Neurospora crassa OR74A: one gene and its partners. The protein of the gene in region 3 purifies or fractionates together with the protein of the main gene of each other region. This does not show direct contact. Links are inferred from orthologs where the notes say so. Each region holds a gene or a part of one and is shown on either strand. Other genes may lie near its edges.

Evidence for each region.
Region 1: the proteins of NCU01606 (region 3) and NCU09119 purify together in Saccharomyces cerevisiae (affinity purification with mass spectrometry; 3 studies listed by BioGRID). This does not show direct contact. The link is inferred for Neurospora crassa OR74A from reciprocal best matches to the Saccharomyces cerevisiae genes ATP5 and ATP3.
Region 2: the proteins of NCU01606 (region 3) and NCU03558 purify together in Saccharomyces cerevisiae (affinity purification with mass spectrometry; 3 studies listed by BioGRID). This does not show direct contact. The link is inferred for Neurospora crassa OR74A from reciprocal best matches to the Saccharomyces cerevisiae genes ATP5 and ATP15.

What each region holds. Positions count from the first base shown.
Region 1 is NC_026501.1:5,400,815-5,405,011, reverse strand, and holds NCU09119 (ATP synthase subunit gamma), read right to left. Parts: upstream 2,829-4,197; 5' UTR 2,604-2,828; intron 2,525-2,603; 5' UTR 2,244-2,524; coding exon 2,188-2,243; intron 1,785-2,187; coding exon 1,204-1,784; intron 1,141-1,203; coding exon 1,007-1,140; intron 922-1,006; coding exon 793-921; 3' UTR 491-792; downstream 1-490. UniProt on the Saccharomyces cerevisiae protein: Mitochondrial membrane ATP synthase (F(1)F(0) ATP synthase or Complex V) produces ATP from ADP in the presence of a proton gradient across the membrane which is generated by electron transport complexes of the respiratory chain.
Region 2 is NC_026502.1:232,463-236,119, reverse strand, and holds NCU03558 (hypothetical protein), read right to left. Parts: upstream 2,165-3,657; 5' UTR 2,023-2,164; coding exon 1,991-2,022; intron 1,287-1,990; coding exon 1,169-1,286; intron 979-1,168; coding exon 892-978; 3' UTR 545-891; downstream 1-544. Other genes in the region: NCU03557 (amino-acid N-acetyltransferase subunit Mak10), read right to left, coding at 33-69; NCU03559 (ubiquinol-cytochrome c reductase complex core protein 2), read right to left, coding at 2,988-3,083, 3,147-3,657. UniProt on the Saccharomyces cerevisiae protein: Mitochondrial membrane ATP synthase (F(1)F(0) ATP synthase or Complex V) produces ATP from ADP in the presence of a proton gradient across the membrane which is generated by electron transport complexes of the respiratory chain.
Region 3 is NC_026502.1:2,975,420-2,979,417, forward strand, and holds NCU01606 (ATP synthase subunit 5), read right to left. Parts: upstream 2,499-3,998; 5' UTR 2,383-2,498; coding exon 2,239-2,382; intron 2,053-2,238; coding exon 1,741-2,052; intron 1,481-1,740; coding exon 1,388-1,480; intron 1,275-1,387; coding exon 1,161-1,274; 3' UTR 510-1,160; downstream 1-509. Other genes in the region: mob-1 (protein kinase regulator), read right to left, coding at 3,082-3,247, 3,477-3,570, 3,637-3,803. UniProt on the Saccharomyces cerevisiae protein: Mitochondrial membrane ATP synthase (F(1)F(0) ATP synthase or Complex V) produces ATP from ADP in the presence of a proton gradient across the membrane which is generated by electron transport complexes of the respiratory chain.

The DNA of each region.
Region 1 (4,197 bases), on a different chromosome or scaffold from region 3:
TCCCAAGGGCATAGATGCAAACGTCGCCTATACTAAAACCAGGCGGGGAAGTGAGTATGTACAAAACTCCACAGCAAATGAAGCAGCCAGTCCTTTTAACCGTTGAACATCGGAAAAGGATTAGAAACTTCCATCCCATCTCCCATGCTCTTCACACATTCAGTCCCATCAAGCGCCCCAAACAAGCGACGGCGGCGCGGAATGGAGGCGGGATAAGACAGGATGATATTGGAAACACAAGCAACTCCTCACAAATATACGAACCCATCGAGATGGAAGCCCCACCCCTTATCACCCGTCTGCGGCTTTTATTTCGAATGAAAGTTGGCCGGCGGCGTGGTCAGGTTGCTTACTGAGAATTTACCGACGAATTTGTACTGAGCGACATTGTCATGCATCTGACAAGCGCTCATCCCAGCTGAGATTTGTTGAGTGGACTGAAACTACAGCGGCTATGTCTTCAAGGCTTACTGACGACGGAGTGGGCAGGTGTGTGAAAGAAGTGGTACAATTTATGGACTGAAGGCGTTGGTACAATAAAGGAAAGGCTAGCTCATTTGATTGGTACAAAGGAAGGCATTTGGCACGCAGCTTTTTGGACCAGGACTAGACATACCACACACCACGCATACTCGTACACTTTCGAACGGCATGGTTGAATGTCAACTGAGAGTGCAGACAGGGATGATGGATTTCGGCTTTGGACCCTTTTCTTTTACTCAGGTCCCCTCTCCTTTTCCCTCAATACATCTTCGTCTTCTATTAATAGACTGCGGTTGTTTAGGCTGCTGTTTACATATCGGCCGAAGCGGTGGCACCAGTGATAATTTCGACCAACTCGCCGGTAATGACGGCCTGGCGAGTACGGTTGAAGAGAATCTGGTACTTGCTGATCATCTCGCCGGCGTTCTTGGAAGCGTTCTGGATAAGGGGTAAGAGAATTCACGTCAGCAGCCTGTCCGCTGTCGACTTCAAAGAGGTGGCATGGGACGGGAGGAGAACTCACGTCCATGGCGTTGCGACGGGCAGAAATCTCGCAGGCGTGACCCTCGCAGAGAGCCCAGTAGAGGGAGTTGGCGAGGGCGTACTCGCGGAGGTTGCCAAGGACCTCTTCATCAACCTCAAAAGCGGAAAAGTTGGCTGGATATAACTTAGTCAGCTGACTGAACCTCGACGGGCATCACGGTGGCCGACAGGACGTACGGGAAGCGAGGATGGCATCCTCAGAAAATGCCTCAATGACGGTGGGCTCGTAGCTGGTGGCGTTGATGAACTTGTTGTAGACAATCTCAACGGAAGAGTAGTCGCCCTTGAGCTGGGTGATCTGGTCGGCGATGGCAGAGGCCTCGACGAAGGTGGGGATGTCCTTGCCAACACCGGAGAAGTTGAGGACGATGTCCTTGGCGTTGGTACGGGAGAGCTGGGCCTTGGCCTTCTCGCCGATGATGACGATGTCGAACTCAGGCTCGGTGGCGGCGCGGCGACGGATGAAGCGCGCAAGACCGGAGTGGACACCACCGCAGAGACCCTTGTCGGAGGAGCAGACGACGACGAGCTTCTTCTTGCCCTCAGCCTCGAGAGGCTTAGTCTCGGCCGAGGTGAAGACCTCGTTGCTGGTGGCACCGTAGCCGCGGGACTCGGTCATGGCACGCTGGGCGCGGTTGAGCTTGGTCGAGGCAACAATCTTCATGGTGTTGGTGATCTTCTCGATGTTGCGAATCGACTTGAGGCGGGTCTCGATTTCACGGAGAGTCGCGAAGGTGGCCGCGCCGGGAGCAGCCGCTCTGTTGTCATGACCTTCAATCAGTCTGCATGTTCTGTCTCAAGGTTCGATGTGTCGGGGCTATCGCGTGTCCGTTCTCGTTCTCGTGTGCGTATGGGTGTGTGTGTGTCCAACTCCTCTTCTCTCTCTCTCTCCCCACCCGACCCGTTCCCTGCTTGCTTGCTTGTGCTGCCCCTCCATATATCGGACGTCATGTATCGGGGACCTGGCGGCGCAATCGCATTCGTTTCCAAGTCGCACAGAGAGCTGAGAGCCAGACGAAGACCCCGAGAAGCTGTAGTCGGTTGGTGCACGGTGGTTGACGAACAGACGGAGGCGAGATGGCGAGATGTTGGACGGAGACGGACGGAGCACTCTTACGGAAGAAGGACATGGTATTTTTTTTTTCTTGGGAGAGCACCTACCGGGACGAGACGGCGGCTCCAGCTCTCAGGGCCGGGCGGGCAGCTCTGGACAGCATGTTGAGATGGATATTTGACGAGGGAGAGACCTGCTGGAGAGGAGTGGCCCGGGGTTGACCACTTGATATTCAGGCGGCAATTGATCGTGGGGGAGTGATCAATAGGAATAGGACGCAATTGGCGTGAGAGGTTTGCTGAGGTCGGTTCCACACTTTCCGCTCTCTGCTCACTTTCCGGCCGTGCTTTCTTCGTGAGGTGTGGCTCGCCATCGTGCCGCTGTCCAGTCCCCAGTCGGGCGCCTTCGCCTTTTTCCCGGCTAGAGCCTGGCAATGGCTGAGGACTGCTGCCCGGCCATTGGCTTGGTTAGTTACTGGCTGCCTGCCAGCTGCGGTGTGCTCCCCACGCAGCACCTCACTTACCTATCTAGTGTACCTATGGCCCGGATGTACACAGGTGGAAGGCCATCTTGCTGCCGAGTTCTGCCAAACTTTCTTGCCAGCCATGACAGCTGCCAGAGCTACCATGTGGGTGGGGCACCCGGTCTGGCCCGCACCTGCGATCCTGCACCGCGGCATCAGTCTACTCACTTGCAGATGAACAAGCGGTACAACTCACTTGTGGAATTGAAGGCTGTCTTGAAAAGCTCTTTTTGTTCCGTTCCTGTTGGGCACCGTGCCATCCACCTCACTGAAACCTGCCTACTTAGCTTATCTCAGAATCAGACCTCTTTTTTGGGCATGGGCGGCCTGCGGCCGGGAAGGGGGCTTGCGGCCCGTGCGCTGCGCGTACAATGGAAAGGGCGCTGCGCGCCCGGAAATTCAAATTGAATCTTTCTAATCTTTCAGACTTGTGGTCCGTGCATCTATTCTTTTAGTATATTTAACGGTATTGATTGAGAACGCCTAAAAAAGAGGTTTGAGTTCCCAATCAGATAGGAATTGTAGAGGCTGGGATAAAATCACTAACTTCCCAGTAAGACTCTATGATAATAAAATAAAAAAGGAAGTTCTGGAACTTTAATGGGTATAGGGAGAATCTACTCGACGAGACGAATCTAATAGTATAATTAGTTTTTTAATGCGTCCAATAAAAGTGCCAAGTTTTTGTATAAACGTAAAAAAATTAGGTGTTGACACATGTCAGTTGGCCGACTAGCTATTTACTACAATACTATATTTTATCTCAACTTTTTGAAATTTTGTAGGTATGATTATTACAATTGTCTTATCCTCCGAGTACAATTCGCTTATCTTTGCGATGTATTATTTTTTTTCTTCGAATTTTTATTCTATTAGTACTACATTCAATGCTATAGATTCCGATGTTAATGCCCCTATTAATCCCTAATGCGTACTAAGAGTTATGAAAAATATTATTAGTAATAATAGAGAGCCTCGAGAAGGCTAGGTTTAAGTGGTAGTGCGGCTAGTATGCGAATAAAAGGATACGATATTAGTTGTGGTAATGGGCTACGGAAAAAGTATTGTCCTATATGTATTTTTAGCTTTGTATAATAAAATTACGATATAAATCGTACTGTTTACTAAGCTTAGGGAAAGTTAACGTAATGATATTGCTACTAAGGTGCTAGATTTAAAGCTAGTATGGGTAGATAAAGACGTAATTCTAAGAGTAAGCTTTTTGCCCCCCTTTTATACTGGAATCCTACTAATTCGTATATAGAACCGGGATATTTAGGACTAGATTCAATGCGGCGATTATACCCATGTTTTACTGAGCCTAGAGCTTGCGATAAGTGTAAAATTTAAGGCTATATTGCGGTCCCTAGAATTCTATAAACGGATCGGTCTTTTTGCTATTGATGAGTTATATTGCGTATCAAAATAGCGCGAATTTCGATAGGAGTTTCAATATCTATATACCTTACGGCTATTATTGCCTAAGAACATTCCGTGGTTTGGCTGTACAATTATGTTAGTTAGAATCTATTAAGACTTTATTATTAAAAAGGCTGGTTTTGATGCTAGAAACCTCGAAATTATTAGAATTTCC
Region 2 (3,657 bases), about 2.7 Mb from region 3:
AAATTTTGGGAATTGTAGCGAAAGAAACAAACCTCTTTGAACTGCAGCTTGGTGGTCGTCTGGGATCATGGTCTTGTGTTTTTTTTTTTTTTCTTTTTACAAGAGCTATGGATGGGCTCCCGTAGGAAAGGTAATTAGTATGCACTTGAGATGAACATTTGTTTGTTTGTGGTTAGGTGAGTGGAGGAAGTCGGGTGATGTTTGGCTCTGTTAGGGGAGGAACCTGAGTCTGTGCCTGGCTGCCCGGACTTCTTTGCTGGTAGCGTCCGTGAGCCCGAATGTTAACGACCGACTCCCCTTTCGGGTACATACCTACCTAGAGGTAAGCTTCCTCACTTTCCGCTTGTCAGTGGGTTGATGAGGCTGCTAAGAAATGACAAACAATTCTTTATTGATCACATTTTCTATTTTTAAGAACCCAATCTTTCAACTCAACTGGCTTCGTCGAATAAGCGCCTACCGTATTTTGCATATCATGCAATGAAGCCCAAAGAGGCAATGAGACGCTGTACTTCAGGGAAAGGAATCCCTTGTGCAACATCTACGACTCTCGGACCTGTTACCTCTGTCAATGAGCGGCACACCCATTCTAACACTTTTTCAAGTTCATTTATATGTCACTCAGATTCACTTCCAACCAGTCACACCCAGTTCACAAAGTAAATGCCAATAAACCGTCTATTGAGTTTCTCTTCCTCGCTCCCCCAATATGTTTGATGATACAGGTCATACGTCTTCGGGCTTAGTGACACTCGGCAGGAGGTGAGGATTTGAGTGCCATGCGGGAGCGATTCGCGATATGACCCTATTTCTCTCATCTCCCGGTCCACCACTACACCACCATTCCTAGCACATCGTCACGGTGTGTTGGTTGTGTGTGTGTCGATCCGCTTAAGAAGAGGGAACGGAGGTGGCGTTCTCGGCGGCGGCGGCAGCGTTGGCGGAGCTGAGGTTGACGGTCTCGCCAGGCTTGCCGTTCTGTAGTTTGGAAAGAGAGGGGGTGTGATTAGCTTCTCTTTCGTGTTGTTTACGTCCAGTGCCGGTGTCCATCCATCTTCATGATTTTTTTTCTCTCCGTCTCCTCACTCGTGACATTCCCCCCTCCTCTTTCTTCTTCTCTTGTCTGATTGTTCCCCGATAGCCAAAAGACAAAAAGATTATTACGTACCGACCACTTAGCGAACTTGACCTCGGCAGCCTCGCCACGACGCTCAGCAATGATTCTCTTATCCTCCTTGAGGGAGCGACGGAGCGCACGAGAGGCGACCGCGAGGTAGCGGTTGTAGCTGTAATTTTCGTGAACCGTGTTAGCCTTCGTTGTCTTGTAGTACTGTTTTCTCTCGTCCGGTCCCCTCTGCTATGTTCCCCCCTCTTGCCCTGCTCCTGATCCTCGTGTGTTGCTCATTCCGTGCGCTATCTGGTGATTGTAGTGCGTATGTCTGTCGTAGCTCTGGATGAATGCTGGCCTGCTTTGTTGCTTCGAAGTCGTCGTTACGCATCGCTTGCTCGCTTTCCGGTGTTTTTGTCGCATTCGGGCCCGTCTCTCCATGTCATGGACATTCGGCGCTTTTCTCGACCAAGTGTGTCGTGTATTATCTCTCTCCTTGATCTCCCTCAATGTTTCCCTGGGTCCTGCTGTCGTCCATGACCTGGGGTTATCTCCGTCCTCTTTCTCTCCCAGTCTTTCTCATTCCACCTGTTGTAGGTCGCCCGTAGATTGTCGTCCATCGATCGTATTTCAAGTCGCGGGGCAATTACAACCCCAGATTTCGGCGCATGTAATCGTTGTAATCTCTGTTGTCGAGCTCGTTCGTGGGTAGGCAGGCTCGTTGGTCCCATCATCCTCCTCCATCCTTCTCTCTCTCTCTCTCTCTCTCTCTCTGTCGCGGCAATTCTGGTCTTCTTCCTCCCACACTTCCGATAAACTGCCCTATTTGCCCTGCCTCTCCCCGTCCCCAAGCCAATAAAAACGAAAAGACAAGATACTCACGTAATGCCAGCGGCCTTCCAAGCGAACACCATGTTGGGCGAAGATTGTGGGGTGGGTGGGTGGGTGTTGTCTTGACGGTGAAACGAAGAAAGACTTGTTGCTGTCTGCTGCTTGCTGCTTGCTGCGGTACTTGCTTGCGCGCGATTCGGTTCACTCTCGACTCGACAAAACTGGTCCCCACCCTGGCACACCCATCCACCCAATCCACATCCAACACCAGGGAACCCGAGAAGCTCCGCTGCCCGAAGCTCCGTCGTGTGTCACGTGATGCCCCTCCTTTTTTTTTGTCTTCAGTTGTGACCCCAACTCCCCCAACTGAGACGCCGCCCCAAGCTTCCTTCCATGCCATGCAGTGACGGAACAGGAGCTACGGGCGCCCGCCGCCGCCGCCGCCAGGGCAAGCTCGGCAGCTTACCTAACAAGGTCAAAAGTAAACATCGACCCCTGATACCTATTTTGAATGGACCTGTGTGATTGATGTTTGACATTGAATGTGCTATCGCATTTGTAAACTTTCAAATGAGCTCAAGCATTCTCGTCTCTTCCAAACTACTTATCTTCGCCGTAAAACTCACTAGCATATCTCATCTCATTCCTTAAGCTTGACATTTCACCCTCGTTTGTAACAGGTATCCAATGTCAACAAAAGAAATAATGCCTGCTGCATTTTGTGTTTTATAGCTCTGCTAGAGAAGTAGTGGCGAGGAATGATAAAAAGTCTAGAGGTTTGTATATGCACAAAAAGTCGTCGGTCCCCAGCCGTTCGTTCTTCATCTCCCGCTTCACAACGAGAAAGGTCTACAACACACTTCATCCCGGCCGGTTTTGCTGTTGGTACACGGTTTTGGTTTTTGTCTCCCAACCCTGGCGTCTTCTCAAAAAAGTATCCACGCCTTTCCAGTTTCAATCGGTTCGTTTCGCTGCGTTTAGGTATTTCCTCTTTCAATTAACTACGAATTGCACAACCCGCTCTGCGCCCCCAAAGTCTAGTCTACGTCTATACCTTGAGACCGAGATCCTCAGCATAGGGAAGGACGTGGAGGTCACCGACGGCGGAAACGGAAGCCTTGCCCTCAAGGAGCTTCTTGGCAGCCTGTTGAACGTTTGTTAGCATATCTTTTTTTTCTTTTCCAACTTCTTGTAGGTTCACACATACAGCCTGGAGCTTCTCAGCGGTAACGCCCTCAAGAGCCTTGAGGGTCTCGGCAACCTGGATGGGCTTGCCACCGGCAAGAAGGTTGGCACCGGCGTGGACGAGGCCAGTGCCGGAAACCTCGCTGGCGGAGAGGAGGTTGAACTTGGCCTTGGCGATAGCCTTGGTGAGGTCCTCCTTGGAGACACCACCGGCAGCGATGGCCTTGAGACCCTTGACGGCCTCGACGGCGACCTTGCCGACGGCGGCACCCTTGCCGGTGATCTGGATGGCGAGGAGACCAGCATCGGAGTAGGCGTAGTTGTGAGCAAAGGCCTCGGCGCCGGGGTTGGCGGCGGTGGCCTTGGCGAGGAGGCTGAAACCGGGGGACCACTTGATGTTGGAGACACCGCCGAGGAGACCGACGAGGACGGAAGTCTCGGGGTGGGGGACGCCAAGGGAAGCACCGGGGAAGGCAATGACGATGGCGTTCTTGCCGTTCTTGGCAACGCGCTGCTCACCACCAAAGTACTTG
Region 3 (3,998 bases):
TGCAAGACAAAAGCAATTGGGATCGGCAGAGACGCATACATTACAGCCAGCCCAAGGCCAAGGCTGTGCTAGTCCCAACCAAACGTCGTTGAGACACATCCTCGAAGATTTCCGACACGATATCCCGAAATACGCGGGCGCAGCATGGCTGACAAGCGGCCGATGAAGTTTAATGGAAGAAGTAAGCTTGGACATACGACGATGATGCGTAATGAGTTGGACTTTGGACGGATGATGTCGAGCCCGTATCTCAATCAGGACAGAGAAAGCGATATAGTAGCACAAAGGTGAACAAGGCTACCTCTCGATCCGCTCGATCAACTAGCTGTTTTTTTCTCGGTGTTTCATTACTAGATGTGGATTATGTATACGGAGTTTAGGTGCCTATATGGTTTTATCATTAGCATGTATATACCATAGTGTTTATTTTTAGTGTCAAAAGACACCCCCGTATTAGCATTGGATATGTCTCTTTTCACTGTTTAAACGCCTCGAACCACGCAGCGAATGTGCAGACTCTTGACAGCGACGGCATGTCGTATACAGAGTAGGTAAGATAAGGTAGATAAGTAGGTAAGTTGCTGTCCGGTAGGAGGAAGTGGTACGTATTGATCGGGCCCGATTATCTCAGCCGAAGCAAGTGTCATGCGTCAAGCAGGTCTATGCCTCTGGTAACACAACCACGGCCATGCATGCCTGCTGAAATTGAATATGGGCCTGAATAATCTTGGAAACACTCACCTCCCATAAACCCAGTGCAACATGTCAGGAAACCTTTGCACTGTTTTGCCCTTTTTTTTGTGGCAACAACAAGAGTCCAAAACACGAAACAACGAGGGACACTCTCGAGAGAGAATTGACTGGCTGTAGAATCTTTTAAAATTCCAAGCTCATCCTACACACAAAAGGGGGTTCGTTCCCCTTTTCTTCCCCCTTCCTCCCGTCTTTCCTGCTGCTGCTGATGCCCCAAAGACCATGTCCGCAACACAGGAGTTTAACTCCCTTTTATAGCAGATGACGTAACGTATGCGCTGCTTCACTTTCGCCCATTCCAGTAGAGACGCGCAATCAGGAGAGCCGTAATAGTCGGTCGGTTTGGAGGTTGTTCATGCTATAAGATTTGCTCTGCTCTTCTTAGGAAACTCGGATAATTGTAGAATTTACAGGGCCTCGCTAAGGAGCTTGTTCATCTTGGCGATCTTGGAGGAGACGGAAAGGTCGATGGTGCGCTCACCGATCTCGACGACGAGACCACCGATGATGTCGGCGTTGACCTGTTCAAATTAAAAGAGAGAAGGTAAGTAGTTGTTTTGCCTAATTTCACCAAGCAGCCGGGTCGGGTATAGCTCCAGTTTTGCCGGGTTGGAATGGTGTGAGATAAACGCACCTTGTTGGTGACCTTGAGCTTCTTGCCAGAGCCGACGTAGGGGGACTTGGCAACAGCGGACTCGAGGCGGTTGAGGGTCTTGTTGTCGAGGGGCTATATGGTGGTAGTTCAGCATTTCGTTAGCGCTTCTGTTTCCCATCTCCTTGTGTTTCGGTTCACCCAGGATCCCAATTCCAGCCAGAGCTTCCGCCAATGTCCAAGCCCAATTTCATTGTCGTCCTCCTCTTCCTGGTCGTATAAAATCCCCCCATAAGCTCGGCTCCCCTTCCGTCATCGCCCTCGTAGTTTCCCTCCTCCTTCTGATTCTTCTTTTGCCCACCATCAAACAACGTAACGGAACAAAGCGAGCGTACCTGAGCGCTGGTAACGACCATCTCAACCTCACCGCGGGCGGCGCTCATGAGCTCGCTGAACTTGGCGACGACACTGGGGAGGAGACCGAGGCGGTTGTTCTCGGCGAGGGTGGCAAGGAAGTTCTTGACGGTCTCGTTGGAAACACCGACGCTCTTCTGGAGCTCGGCAACGATGGCGCTCTTGTCGGCGGGGGAGAGGGTGGGGGTCTCGAGGATGCTGGCGAGCTTAGGGTCCTTAGCAAGGAGGTTGCCGAGGCTGCTGATGGCCTTGGCGGTAGGCTCGAGGGCGCTGGTCTTGACGGCGGCCGTGTACTATATCATGTGTAAATGACGCAGGGAACTATGTTAGCTCTCTGATATTCTGTCTATCGGTCCATTGCGTTCGGTTGTCGGTTTGGCTGATGTGGGAGAGCTCCAATCGACATAACCCTACGAACACGGGAGCTCGAGGGTGCTTCAATTGCTTGTGACGTCGGGGTCCGGGGCGCGAGGGCGTACCAGAGCAGTGGCATAGGTGCCGTCGAGACCGAAGAGAGTCACGGGAGGCTTGACCTTGCTGGAGGCGGCGGCGGCAGCAGCATAGGTGCGGACCTGGGTGTTGAGAACCCGCGCGGGGCGGAGCAGGGCCTGTCGCGACAACATGATGGGCGTGTGGGATATGCTACGGGTGGACGGGGGACCGCGATGTCGTGAATTCAAGCTCCGGTTCAGTTTTGTCAAGGTAACGGGTGGGTTTGGAGCCGCTCGGCAAAACCGTGTCTGCCTCAGGCTGCAAATCCTGGAGCTGCGCCGTAATGGTGCCTCTGCCAAGACTCTTTAGCCCGCCAACTGCCCAGAGCTTCTTCTCCGGAACTGCCCGTTCGTGCCAAGTGCAGTGGGGCAGGCAAGCAACATCCCGATAACGTTATCGGTGCCCTGCCATCCCGTCCGAGCATCGGCACTGCATGCATCCTCGACATTGACATGAAGTTCCGTGAGAAGTGAAAGCTGCGGCAGCATTCGTGATGTCAAAAAGCGTCTATTTCCACGAGAAGCTCCAGGCCTCTCTGTCCCTCTCTACAACGAAACAACAAAAACCCAAAGAGATCCCGGTGCCCTTTACGCGCCATCAAAAGCATGGGATGCGCGTCCCTTCCTGAATTCCGTGGTCCCTTAATCCCTTCTATCAGCGCCCGTTGCCAGCCCACCATACCAAACGAAAACGAATGCCTGTAATGGAACCAACCCGCACCCAACCTAACGCCTACGTGCTTAGCCCTGTCAAATAACCATGCGCCAATGCCAAAGCCATACAAGATTCTGTCGTCTAGTCGCTGCGTAACATGCTGTCGACCAAGTCGCCTAGCGGTCCCCAAAAATCCTTGCCGGTTGCCAGGTTGTGCTCATCGATAAATAGCACATATTGCTTGAAGCTGGTGTTGAGATGCGGCTCCAGGCCCAGTTCCCGAATGACGGGGTAGTGGTGGCAGTAAATGTGAGCGTAAACGCGGTACATGCGCTTGAAGATCTGGCGGACCAGCGCCGGGAAGGACTTGGGGAACGGAACTCCAATCCTGCTTGGTAGGACGGCCTCGTTGTCGATGTTGCCCTGGACCCAGCTCATGAGCTGTTCAATGTAAGCGGGCGCAGGCATCTTGGTCGGTCGCTTGTAGTTCTCCGTGTCCTGCCACAAGTACTCGAACCTAAACTCTGTCAGTGTGTTGGTCGCGGTGTATGATGTTGTGATGGAAACGTACTCGTCGGTCGCCTTCATTTCGGGGCAAGTCTGGGGAGAGCAGAACTCGGTAATGGCGCCATAAAGGAGGTTGATTTGATTGTAGAAGTCCACCACTAGCATAGCGGGTCAGCGGATGGCCCTGGAGCAAAACAAGCTGGGTCGGCGGGGTTGATGCTCACTGTTGACAGCCAACCACTCATTCTCGTCTTCACCCTCAGGCAGCTTCACCACTTTGCGCAAACTTCCTCCGCCAAGTGTTGCTTCGGCATATTGTCGCAGCTGGTAGCTGGTCGCACCGCCCTTGCCGCTCGCCCGAGGTCGGAACTGGTTGCGCGTCCGCTGATTTCTAGCGGCAAATCATGTTAACAGCTATCCCACACAAGATAGAATTCATGGCTTTACTGAGGAGGTCGAAAGACCTTCCAGTTATGCGGTGTGTTGCACCTCCTGGAAAGGAGATGGATGCGACGGCGAGCGAGCTTGTCCTCGCTTCGTTGCCAAATTACGTCATCGCATCGCCAACTATTCGCGATGGGCCTGT